Arabidopsis thaliana: one gene and its partner. The protein of the gene in region 2 interacts with the protein of the main gene of each other region in a biochemical or structural test. Each region holds a gene or a part of one and is shown on either strand. Other genes may lie near its edges. The genes, in order: XLG2 and RTV1.

Region 1 (6,551 bases), on a different chromosome or scaffold from region 2:
AAGCAAAATCTATAGAGGAAGCTAAATGCAGATAAACACAGTGTTTGTTTCATAAAAACCATCAGACATAGTTCAAAGAAACCACTAGGCTAAGAGAATCTACCCAGTTCAAGAATCGTTTGCTCATGAACAGATAAACCTGAAAGAAGAAACCTCGAGAGAAAATCTTACCATGAACTCTGAGCTGAAATGGGAGACGAAAACAGTGAAGAAACGTGGAGGGAGCTGGAAATCATTGCTAGCCATTGAAGAGGCCATCTTGGATCTGTGTGTGAAGAGAGTGAGTGAGAGAGAACGAGTGAAAGAGAAAGAGAAAGAGAAAGAGAGAGAGAAGAGTAAAGAGAAAAAGTAAAGCTAAAATGTTGTATGAAGAGAGAGTACCTTACCTTGACGCTTGAGTCAAATCAACGTTTAAGTTTTTGCAGAGAAAGGAGGTACAATCCTCAGACCCTCGTATTCTGCGTGGCCATTTCAAATTATTTTCTTTTAAACGGTTTGATCTCCCAAACTGAACCGATAATTTATTGCTACTCCGGTCCAGTTCAACCTCAATAACCGTATAAGTAAATGTCTGTTAAACCGGGAAAATTCACTTTATTATTTCTCTATTTTTTTTCCCCTGAAAAATCAATCACATGAATGTATCTTCACACTACTACATATACAACAAACATACACACAGAGAGAGAAACAAACTTATGTAATTTCCACAAAGAAAGAAAGAATTTTAGGAAAAAATATCAAGAGGACGAGCTGGCCTCTATGCTAGTAGTAGACATCTCTTGGAACATGGAAGTTTCTTCAACATGCCACTTGAGAATCTCTCTCGCATACCTCAGTGCATTGTCCACAGTATCACTCTCCAAGCTCACTTGACAAACAAACAATTTTGGCTTAAAGCTCCTTCCACGCATATTTACGGGTTCCAAGATTGAGTCATAGAGTCTCTTGAACTTATATCCAATGTAATGGAAAGCACGCTGAGCCATTGGAGGGTTGTGTCTGCTCGTCTGGTTCTGGCTGATCAATGGGTTGAAGTCTTCAAACCACTCACAGGTTCTTAGAGGAACCTCTTCGATCTTTTCTTCTAGGAGATCAAATTTGGTTAGAACCAAAAGAAACCTTTTGTTAGCTAGGCTCGGGTGAGTCACCATGTTCTCGAAAAGCTGTTTGGTTGCAAGCATCTTGTTCACAATATTCCCCTCACCGTCTTCTATGTTTTCTGCATAGTCTGTTAGTGAGACACAAAATATCACCAAGTCAGCGTCTTCAAACATTTCCAGCAATTTCCAGTTTTCACCAAGGCTTCTCGGATTTAGCCGGATGAGTTGGTACCTAAAGAGAGAGAGAGAGAGAGAGAGAGAGAGAGAGAGAGAGAGAGGGTAAGTTCAACGGTTTTTCATATAGCCGGAATGCAACACAAGGAAAAAGAACAGAACTAACTTCATGTCTGTATCATGTTGATAATCGCTCTCAAGAGACTCTTCTTGAGAAGTTGATGGGAATGAGAAGTCCACACAAGAAAGTCCTTCCATAGAGGAGAGTCCTTCCGCTTGCAATATGTCCATATCAGAAGGATCGTATTCTGATCTCGAGATCTCAAGAATCTGAGAAGAAACAAATTTGGGTCAGTCATCTTTTTCCCCTTAAACAAAAGTGTTAAGGTCCTGAAAGAGCGTTTATATATGCAAGCAGGCAACTTGATGTAAACTTACTCTTTCAAGAAAATAAACGGCGTTCCTGGGAAGTGTATCGCGAAGTCTTTTGTAGGTGGCTTGAATAGCTGGTACTCTCCAGAGATCTGCAACGGTTTGAGCATTCTCACGGCTTGATGGTGGAAATATCTTCAGGTTTCCGTCTTCCTTTTCTTTCAAAACCCAATCTGAAAAATGTTTTAGTCTCGGGTTGATCGAGTTACCTGGTTTTGCACTGGTTTCATCTCCCACATTGCCTAAATCCCAAGAACTCGATCAGTCTTCCTCAATAATCAATTGTTAACTGATGTTTGTATTAGAATATGAATGCATTCTTATTCTAATAGTTTGTACAGTCAATAATAATTACCTGAAGACTGGTCATTGCTCATCTCTTTTTCAAATCTTTCATGTGCCTCAAGAACCATTGCCAGATAGGTATAGAGATTTGTTTGGATTATGAATTTGATTCTTTCACGGTCTTCTAAAGAGAATGAGACGTTGTAGAGAGACCTTGCCTGAAACAGAAGAAGTCAATTCCCGATTCTTTACTAGATGTGAAACATTCAAGTGGGAGGCATTAAGATGAATAGCTCACTTGTTTGTAAATTGTAGTGGCGCCACCTTTTTCGCTACCAATCAAAAGAAGCTTGTTAAGCATCTTCTGCTCATATAAGGGCACATCATATGGTTCTACTGCAGACGAAGCCGGAGGAACTGGCAGAGAGAACACAGCGCAAGCAATTTTTGCTCTCTTCTGTAAAAATAATATCCTTCGTTGTCTTTAGTTTTATATTTAATGTTGTGAACGAGAAAAGCTGGTGATCAGGAAACCATACCTTACTCCAGATGTTCCCGATGGGATGCTTTTGACCTTCTTCTCGGTAAGAACCATCTGAATCGACCCAAAAATGAGGTTTTCCTTCACATTGCACCCCCGCCCACTACATCAAAGCAAAGAAGCGCTCAGTTCAGAACAATGACACATACACTAAGCATATTTGTTATCCAAAACAAAGGTGAAAAGCAAAAGAACCTTGAGCATCGTGAGCTCTGGCTTGGTTATTTCCCGGCCATTAATATAAATTTCAGTGTCTCCATTGCTTACTTTCTCACTGATGTATCCTCCTATGCTGTTGTTAGGACTTATAATCTGACTAGGTTTCTCTCCTATCTGATTAAATAAACACATAGAGGCTCTGATTTAGCTGAGCACTCAAAATACAATCCCGATAATAGATACGCAGACATATATAAGAAACTGTACCTTTCCCCAGTAGCCAGCAACCTTATCATACCAATAGTGTCCGGGTTTTAGCTTCTTGGGTGGATTTGGACATGTCTGCAACGTGTAAAGCTCATCTTCACTTAAAGGCTTGTCATTGACAATGATAAGTCGTGAAGGCAATTGATTCGCCTTGCAGGTGATCTCGGCATTCATGACTTGTCGAAGTTCAGAATCCGTGAGATGGCGCTTGAGCATTCTTGAACACTTTCCGAGACTTGCTCTCTTGGACTCATCAATCCTATAACCAATGCAAGCTTGACACTTTCTTCCTTCGGGCATCGCACCCATGGCTCTGCGCACACAGTTGAAACAGTATTTGGCATCGCAGACAATACAGACTTCCTTCTCAGTAAACCGGTTCCCCAACTGGCACCGGTAACACGATCCTCTTTTACCTTTCCTTTCAGCTCTATGCGTTGCAGCTATACTTTCTCCATCAGAAACATAGGAGCTCTCATCACATTCACTACTCTGAAAAGGTTCAACGAATCTCACTGCTCTAGGTCCCACATCCGAAACTCTGTCATCATCTAAGTGATCCTCCTCTCTCGCTGATGCAGACAATGGTGATGATGGTGATAACCGAAAATCAGCAGGACTTTTCACTTCTTCTGGTACATCCAACCTCTTTGATGATGATGATGATGATGAGCCAGAAACAACATCACGCCCTATCAAAACCACACTAGAACCAGCTGCAGAGTCAACGAAACCGTTCTTCTTCTCTATTCCAGAATCAGGTGGTCTCTTGGTATCCTTAGTCATAACGAGAGGTGCCACTGGGTAAGAGATACCACTCCGCAAGGAAGAAAAGGAAACGGGAAGAGCCGTAGGAATCTGATCAACTTCAACGGGAAGAGCTCGTGGCACATTAGCAATAAGAGGACCTTTATACTCACTGGCGAATGAATATTCGATTCGATAGCCACTACTTGTTTCATCATCATCGTCACTTTCTCGATTATCCCTTTTAGGATTCGGTGATGGGAAAGGTAATAACTTTCTTATAACTGCAGCCATCTTCTTACCCAATCAAGCACACATACAAACCCAAAAAAGCCCTAATTCCTAAAATTCCCTAATTTAGAAACTTAACAACTTATCCGAGAAAACGAGAATTCATGAAGTGATAATATACAGATCCTAAGCCATTAGTGGCTTAAATAATCAAATCACAAAGCGCGTGAAATAAGAACGCAACTACAGAAATATAGAAAAAATTGATCACAGAAAGCTCCTTTAGCTTAAAGAAAGAGACGAAATTTAGTTTTTTTTTCCAGGAAAGTGGCGATGGAAGGAAGAAAAATCAGCAAATAAATTTTCCGGGAAAAGGGAATTTGCAGAAGAAGTAAACAAAAAGAAGAAAGACAGAAAGATGGGTTGGATCGTATACACTAGTAAAAGACGAGGACTTGACAAAAAAAGGGGAAGACTTTCTCTTTGTTTTTTATTTTCTCTGCAATCAAAAGGAAAAATGAGTTATTTTCCGGGAAAATTCTTGCCGTCAACGCGGGTTAGGGGAGTTGAAAACGATGCGTTGCGAAAGGCGTTGATGGAGTCAAAGAGAGAGGGCAATTTCGTAAATATATCTTCGGTCCTGCAATAATGTTCGCATAACCCGAATTACACGGTTAATAGAAAACCGGAGGTGTTGACCCTATTTAAGTATTTATCAAAGAGAGGCGCAGAGACATATATGATGATCCCGGTTGTGGAAATGTTTTCGGTTAAGTGATTGAATAAGACTTTTTTTTTTTTGCTCATAAAGATAGATTAGGTTTAAATGGTAACAGTAAATTCACAAAGATTAGTAATTTCTAACAACTTTGGGTGGATATTTCCAGGTTGGAAAATCAATTAAAAAATATCAACATCCTATATTATAATAATATAGAAAGACTAATTCTAATGAAGAGGAAAACGACTCATCCAAAATTCCAAGTTATAAAGTTGCAACCACGACATAGACCACTAAAGAAAACAAATATATATGTTTGATTCGGTCTTTGTTCTTGTTATCTTACAAATTTATGGAAAATAAATAAATAATTCAATTTCGTTTCAAACATTTTTTTTAAAGAAAAAAATAACCAAAAAACTCATTACGTGAAAACCATTAACCCGACTTTGATTCTCACACCAGCTAGCGTGGCACAAACCTCTCCGTTGACTTAGTCATAAAAATGAAATCAATCCTCTGTCTCTTTCCCGGCGTGAATATGGCTCTCGTGACGACGTGACACTCTCGTAAATAATCACACTATGCTCCTCCACTCTTATTTTTCCACATTGCGTGAACTCCACGCGCCACTTCCTTCATGCGGAGACGAAGAGCTCTTCCGCTCTGAAGATGCTGCTGGCTCGTCCATCTCCTTCCACGTGGCCATTCTCTCCGACACGCGCCACACTTTCACCGACTTGTCCAAACTTCCGCTGTATATAATCCACTTCCGGTCTCCCTCGGCCACTGAGGCTTTTGCTCCCTGATGACAAGCCCGTTCCTCCTCCACGGCTAGGCACTTGACCGGCCCCATGTGTCCCGTCAAAACAGAGAGACACTGATGGGACTTGTCAGACGGGTCCCGCCTCCATACGCATATGTTCTTGTCGGCGGAACCACTCAACAGCAAGTTCCCCGCTATACCTAGACAAAGCACTGCGGATTTGTGGCCTTTGAGTATTCCGCCTGTGAATGACCGCTTTGAACGCTCCCAATAGTTCACTAGCCCGTCCGAAGAACCGCAATATACGATGGAAGATTGTGATTTTACGGCCAACGCCGTGACCGCATTTTCTTGCTTGAGCAAAACTTGAGCTAACGTATGTTTTGTTCCTTTGCCTTGCAACTCACGTTTCCACACTTTAACAGTACCATCTGCGGATCCCGTGAACACCAAGTCATCAAAACCGGACATTACAGAGTTTATCGCGTCATCGTGTGCATGTATCGATTCCAAACATTTTGAATCCGCGATTCTCCACACTTTGATTGTCGTGTCCCAAGAACTCGAGTACAACAATCCAAGCTCCACGTCCAAGCTAAGACTAGACACTGCGTCGTTATGCTTCGTCTTCACAGAGTTTCTGTTGCGGCGTACCTCCATGAAATGCTTAGGGTTGACGGAGCTCTTGACCATTGATTTAAATGTTGGCAATGTTCCAACCCGCTTATGTTTTCCTGGTTTTCTCTTCGAAACCTTCCAAATCCGGATCTTCCCGTCTTGATGGCCGGTAAAGATTCGGTCTCCGAATATCACAATGGCCTTGATTAGCCCACTACTGGATTTAAACCCAGCGTGTTCCTTCAAATTCTTCCAAACCCTAATGTTCTTCGAATCCGAGCCCGTGTAGAGAAGGTCACCAGAAGCGGCTAGCGAGTATATATGCCCTTCTTTTCTAACAATAGATCCAATGAGACCGTTGGTCTCGAGGACATTGTCTTCGTTGAAATCTGCACCCCAAGGAGGCGACACGCGGGCCCAAGGCGACATTACGCAAGGAGAACCTTCTCCGCTGGCCGGACCGCTGCTCATGGTCGAGGCCGAGACGCTGCTAAACCGCTGGTGAGT
Region 2 (5,205 bases):
TAAACCACAACCGTCTAAACCTGAAGATTCTCCTAAACCAGAACAACCAAAACCAGAGGAGTCACCTAAGCCTGAACAACCACAGATACCTGAGCCTACTAAACCGGTTTCACCACCAAATGAAGCACAAGGACCAACACCGGATGATCCATATGATGCATCTCCGGTTAAAAATCGTCGTTCTCCGCCACCACCCAAGGTAGAGGATACACGTGTACCACCACCACAACCACCAATGCCTTCCCCATCACCACCATCACCGATTTACTCACCACCACCACCGGTTCACTCACCGCCGCCTCCGGTTTATTCATCACCACCACCACCACATGTCTACTCTCCACCTCCACCAGTTGCTTCTCCTCCACCGCCATCACCACCACCACCAGTTCACTCTCCTCCACCACCACCGGTTTTCTCTCCACCACCACCAGTTTTCTCTCCACCACCACCATCACCAGTATACTCACCACCGCCTCCAAGCCACTCACCACCACCACCAGTATATTCTCCGCCTCCACCAACTTTCTCACCACCACCAACACATAATACAAACCAACCACCAATGGGAGCTCCAACACCGACTCAAGCACCAACACCATCCTCTGAAACAACCCAAGTGCCAACTCCATCATCAGAATCAGATCAATCACAAATTTTGTCACCAGTTCAAGCTCCAACACCGGTTCAATCCTCAACCCCATCCTCTGAACCAACCCAAGTGCCAACTCCATCATCATCAGAATCATATCAAGCACCAAATTTGTCACCAGTTCAAGCTCCAACACCGGTTCAAGCCCCAACCACATCCTCTGAAACATCTCAAGTACCAACTCCATCATCAGAATCAAACCAGTCACCAAGTCAAGCTCCAACACCAATTCTTGAACCGGTTCATGCCCCAACACCAAACTCTAAACCGGTCCAATCACCAACACCATCAAGCGAACCGGTCTCATCACCAGAACAATCAGAAGAAGTTGAAGCACCAGAACCAACACCCGTCAATCCATCATCAGTACCATCATCTTCTCCTTCCACTGACACATCTATTCCACCACCGGAAAACAACGACGATGATGATGATGGGGATTTCGTCCTACCACCACACATTGGATTCCAATATGCATCGCCACCACCACCAATGTTCCAAGGATATTAAAACCAATGTAGTAGTGACAGTGTTACCCATTTTTAACATTTCTGTCCATTTTTTCCATGTGAATTATTTGTATCAAACGAAAAAGATATTACAAAGATGAAAAATTAAAATGCCAATAATTATATAGTAGATTATCTTTCAGCAGATTTTTTTTTGTTGAAATTGAAGTATTGAACTATAACACGATGCGATTTGTTTTTTCGGGGTAAAGAAGTTATCATTTGTTTTGGCCATTTTATGACTTCTATTCTATTATTTGAGAAGCAAAACATAAATATCTATATTTGTAAAATTTAATATCTTACTAGCTACATATAGTTTAATATTATACACATTTAATCTTTCATAACTATGTCATGAATTATTTGACATTTTTCATAAGTCATGATAAATAAAATTATGTATGAAATAATTGAATTAGGGTTTCATGTTCCACCAGATGATTGAACTTGTTCTTTATTCGGATAGAATTATGAAATTTTTATCTTCTATTAAAAAATATATTAACAAAATTAGATTTAACATATATTGATATCTCATTAATGTACTTAACATGTGTTAACAATTTTAAATTTTTTTACTTTATATAATAAAATTAGAATTTTATTAAAATTATATAATATCTAAAATTTGTACTAAATAATAATTCTTGCTGAATTATAATCTAGTTTTTTTTTTTGATAGCATAAAGATTATAATCCGTTAACTTTAAAAAAAAAGCAAGAAAGGGAAATAAATAAATTATTATATCCTTTAAAGAGGACAAAAATATTAATTATATTGCGAAAAAAGGAGATAAAAATTAGGTGGAAAAGGGGAAGATGGTGGGGACGATAAGTTTTTAATTAGCTAACCAAAAAACAAAAACACGAAACGAGTCAACTCACCGGTTCCATTACGAGTCAAGGAGAAACACACATTGACACGCTCAAGCTTTTTTTTTTCAAGGTCAAGTTGGTTTTTTTTTTTCTTTCTTAAAAATATTTATGTTGGGTCAGGCTTAAACCAGAGAGAGAGTGTGTGTGGTCGAGCCATTTGACCAAAAGCAAAAACTTAAAACTGGTTTCAGATCTGAAGTAAAAGGGTTTTGCTTCGGATTCTCCGGCGTCGTTTAAATGATCTCTGACCCATCTTCCTTGGCTTAATAATTCTGGTCCCTCCTTTTATCTCTTTTTACTGTTGATTTATCTGAATATGCCACGCTCTTTCTTCCACATGTTTATTCTCTCTTCCTTTCTTCAACACAAGCGTCTGGTAATTGATCTCTTCTCTCTCAAATTGTGTTTCGTTCTTTTTGGTTCTGTATTTGGTTTCTGACAAAATTGAGGAAACTGGTGTTGGGTTTGAGTCTAGAACTGCCAAAGATGTGATTTTGTTTTTTGGGTACTGAAAATTGAGTGAGATGAAGTGATAAAGTGTCTTTTTTTTTTGGTAAATTATTCGAATGGAACTTGGGATCGGAACTCTGTTTCTTTGTTAGGGTTGGTTGAAATCTGAATCTAGTCTTGATTTTTGTGGTGAAATGAGAGGTGAGTCAGTGAAATTTTGAAATGTCTTTGATTCAATTTGACATCAGAATACTGCTCAGGTTGTGTCTTTTGTCAGATTTATTGAGAATTATCAGCTTCCGACTGTAGATTTGACTTTGGTCTCAGTTTAAAGACTATGAGTGGACTTTATAGATCTAGAAGCATGCGTTGTTTTGATTATAAGAAATAAAAAGAGAGTTTTTGCTTTAAGCTGTTTGACTAATAACTTGACTTGGGATTATGATTTAACCAGCAAAACTCTCTTTTCTCCAGCCACTGTGTTTTATGAATGTTTGTTGATTCCAAATAATAGTATGTGTTGATCAAAGTGAAGTCATTTGGTCATTACTTGGTTCTGAGCTTTCAGTTGTTTTTGCACTTACAATACCTGATGGTCATGTTTGCATGTAGGACTAAGGAAAGCCAACAACAAAATCTGGTTTCAAGACGGTTGGCAGGAGTTTGTCAACCGTTTCTCCATTCGGATTGGTTTCAGATACAAAGTTACAGTCTACATTTTCAATTTATCCTCCACACTCTGAGATCAACCACCATTCTAGTAGTGAAGCTCTTATGCAAATGGATTCCGCACAGAATCAGTTCAACAAACGTGCTCGATTGTTTGAAGATCCTGAACTCAAAGATGCTAAGGTCATTTATCCATCGAACCCTGAATCTACTGAACCAGTGAATAAAGGTTATGGCGGTTCTACAGCCATCCAAAGCTTTTTCAAAGAATCTAAAGCTGAAGAAACGCCCAAGGTACTTAAGAAGAGAGGAAGGAAGAAGAAGAATCCTAATCCCGGTAAGTATCAGAGACAGACTCTTAATTACGTATTAACTTTTGTTTCAGAGGAGAGTCAAAAGATTTATTGTTTTGGTATGTGCAGAGGAAGTAAACTCTTCAACTCCCGGTGGAGATGACTCAGAGAACCGCTCAAAGTTCTACGAGAGTGCTTCTGCTAGAAAGAGAACTGTAACTGCAGAGGAAAGAGAGAGAGCCGTCAATGCAGCCAAAACATTCGAACCAACAAATCCTTACTTTAGAGTTGTTCTGCGACCATCATATCTATACAGAGGTTGCATCATGGTAAACAATTTTTAAAGATTGTAATTAAGGTTCAAGATTAGGGTTAACATGACCTGTTCTTGCTGACTTCTTCGTTTCTGTTTTTTGTTTGTTCAACAGTACTTGCCATCTGGGTTTGCTGAGAAATACCTAAGTGGGATATCTGGTTTCATCAAGCTCCAGCTCGGTGAGAAACAATGGCCAGTGAGGTGCCTCTACAAAGCAGGGAGAGCTAAGTTTAGCCAAGGATGGTATGAGTTCACACTCGAGAACAATATAGGCGAAGGAGATGTATGTGTGTTTGAGCTACTCAGAACTCGGGATTTCGTTCTCGAAGTCACCGCCTTTCGTGTCAATGAGTATGTGTGACCAAAAAAGATTTCCCTTTCATCAGCGATCTTGCAGGTAGCTTTCCAAAGTTAAAATTTTATGTAGGGGTCTCTTAACCATTCTCTCTCTTGCATTGGTTGTCTCTGTTCTAGTAGTGTTTTGAGTGAAATTTCAGGTTCCTATGTTTGGATGTGGATAAGTATTTGACGATTATAATAACCTCTGAGTGGGAAACTCTTTGTTTGAGTGGTAGCTAGGTTCAAAAGTAGAGTTGTATATACTTTTATCTTCATCAGGATAATTATGTTTATTTGAATTGTTGATTATTATGGGTTTGTGTGGGTGAATCCATAAATGTAGTTGGCAAAGCTTGTTCTAGTTGGTTTAACTGTGAGGTGTAAGATGGTGAAAATATCACGACAAAGGGGGAAAAAAATATTATTGTGTAAAACTTGCAGAATCATTTCACCGTTCTAAGGTTTACCAATCAAAGCTTGGATTTCTCTTTTTTGAATGAGGAATTGCTTTTGCTATATTTCAGACAGGGCAAGCTTTTTTTTCGACATACACATTACATCACACAAACTGATAACAGGATCTCACAAGTTAGCCAAGTTCTTACTACAAAGTTCTTGCCAGGCTTGACAAGAATTTCCACTACACATATTACACAACGGGTCTTAAAAATGCCAAGTTCTTACTAAAAATTAAAGCTTGCAAATCTGTTTAACGAGCTAGAAACCAGAAACAAAAAACCGAAGAACTATTATGTGGTTTAACGAGCTAGGAACCGCAGAGATCTTTGTCGGAGAAACATACTTGCATAAGTTCTTCTTCAAGTCCTCTTCCTCAAGACTCCTCATAGCAATCTCTTCAACATCATCTACTAGTCTACAACAAAGAAGAAGAAGAACAAGAAATCACATAAAAGATACAAACAAAACCCACAAATCCTTCTTAAGAAATGTCTTATAAACATTTTACCAAGTATTATGACATTCTCAGACTTAATGTTGACTCTTGGTTTCTTCTTCTTCTTCTTCAACAATTCATCCATATCAACAACTTCACCATCATCATCACTACTTTCAAAACCAGTAAACCCTTGTTCATCA

Evidence for each region.
Region 1: the proteins of RTV1 (region 2) and XLG2 form a complex in vitro, tested with the Arabidopsis thaliana proteins (one study listed by BioGRID).

The regions. Positions count from the first base shown.
Region 1 is NC_003075.7:16,439,030-16,445,580, reverse strand, and holds XLG2 (extra-large GTP-binding protein 2), read right to left. Parts: upstream 4,496-6,551; 5' UTR 4,003-4,495; coding exon 2,962-4,002; intron 2,869-2,961; coding exon 2,731-2,868; intron 2,639-2,730; coding exon 2,534-2,638; intron 2,452-2,533; coding exon 2,293-2,451; intron 2,213-2,292; coding exon 2,065-2,212; intron 1,952-2,064; coding exon 1,716-1,951; intron 1,608-1,715; coding exon 1,444-1,607; intron 1,336-1,443; coding exon 741-1,335; 3' UTR 575-740; downstream 1-574. Other genes in the region: AT4G34400 (AP2/B3-like transcriptional factor family protein), read right to left, coding at 172-258; AT4G34380 (Transducin/WD40 repeat-like superfamily protein), read right to left, coding at 5,259-6,551. UniProt on the Arabidopsis thaliana protein: Guanine nucleotide-binding proteins (G proteins) are involved as modulators or transducers in various transmembrane signaling systems. Binds GTP with specificity. Plays a role in the root morphogenesis by regulation of the cell proliferation.
Region 2 is NC_003070.9:18,313,520-18,318,724, reverse strand, and holds RTV1 (uncharacterized protein), read left to right. Parts: upstream 1-1,863; 5' UTR 1,864-2,416; exon of another isoform or gene 2,417-2,691; intron 2,692-3,074; exon of another isoform or gene 3,075-3,102; 5' UTR 3,103-3,264; coding exon 3,265-3,496; intron 3,497-3,581; coding exon 3,582-3,781; intron 3,782-3,880; coding exon 3,881-4,129; 3' UTR 4,130-4,608; downstream 4,609-5,205. Other genes in the region: AT1G49490 (Leucine-rich repeat (LRR) family protein), read left to right, coding at 1-1,162; AT1G49475 (AP2/B3-like transcriptional factor family protein), read right to left, coding at 4,977-4,981, 5,075-5,205.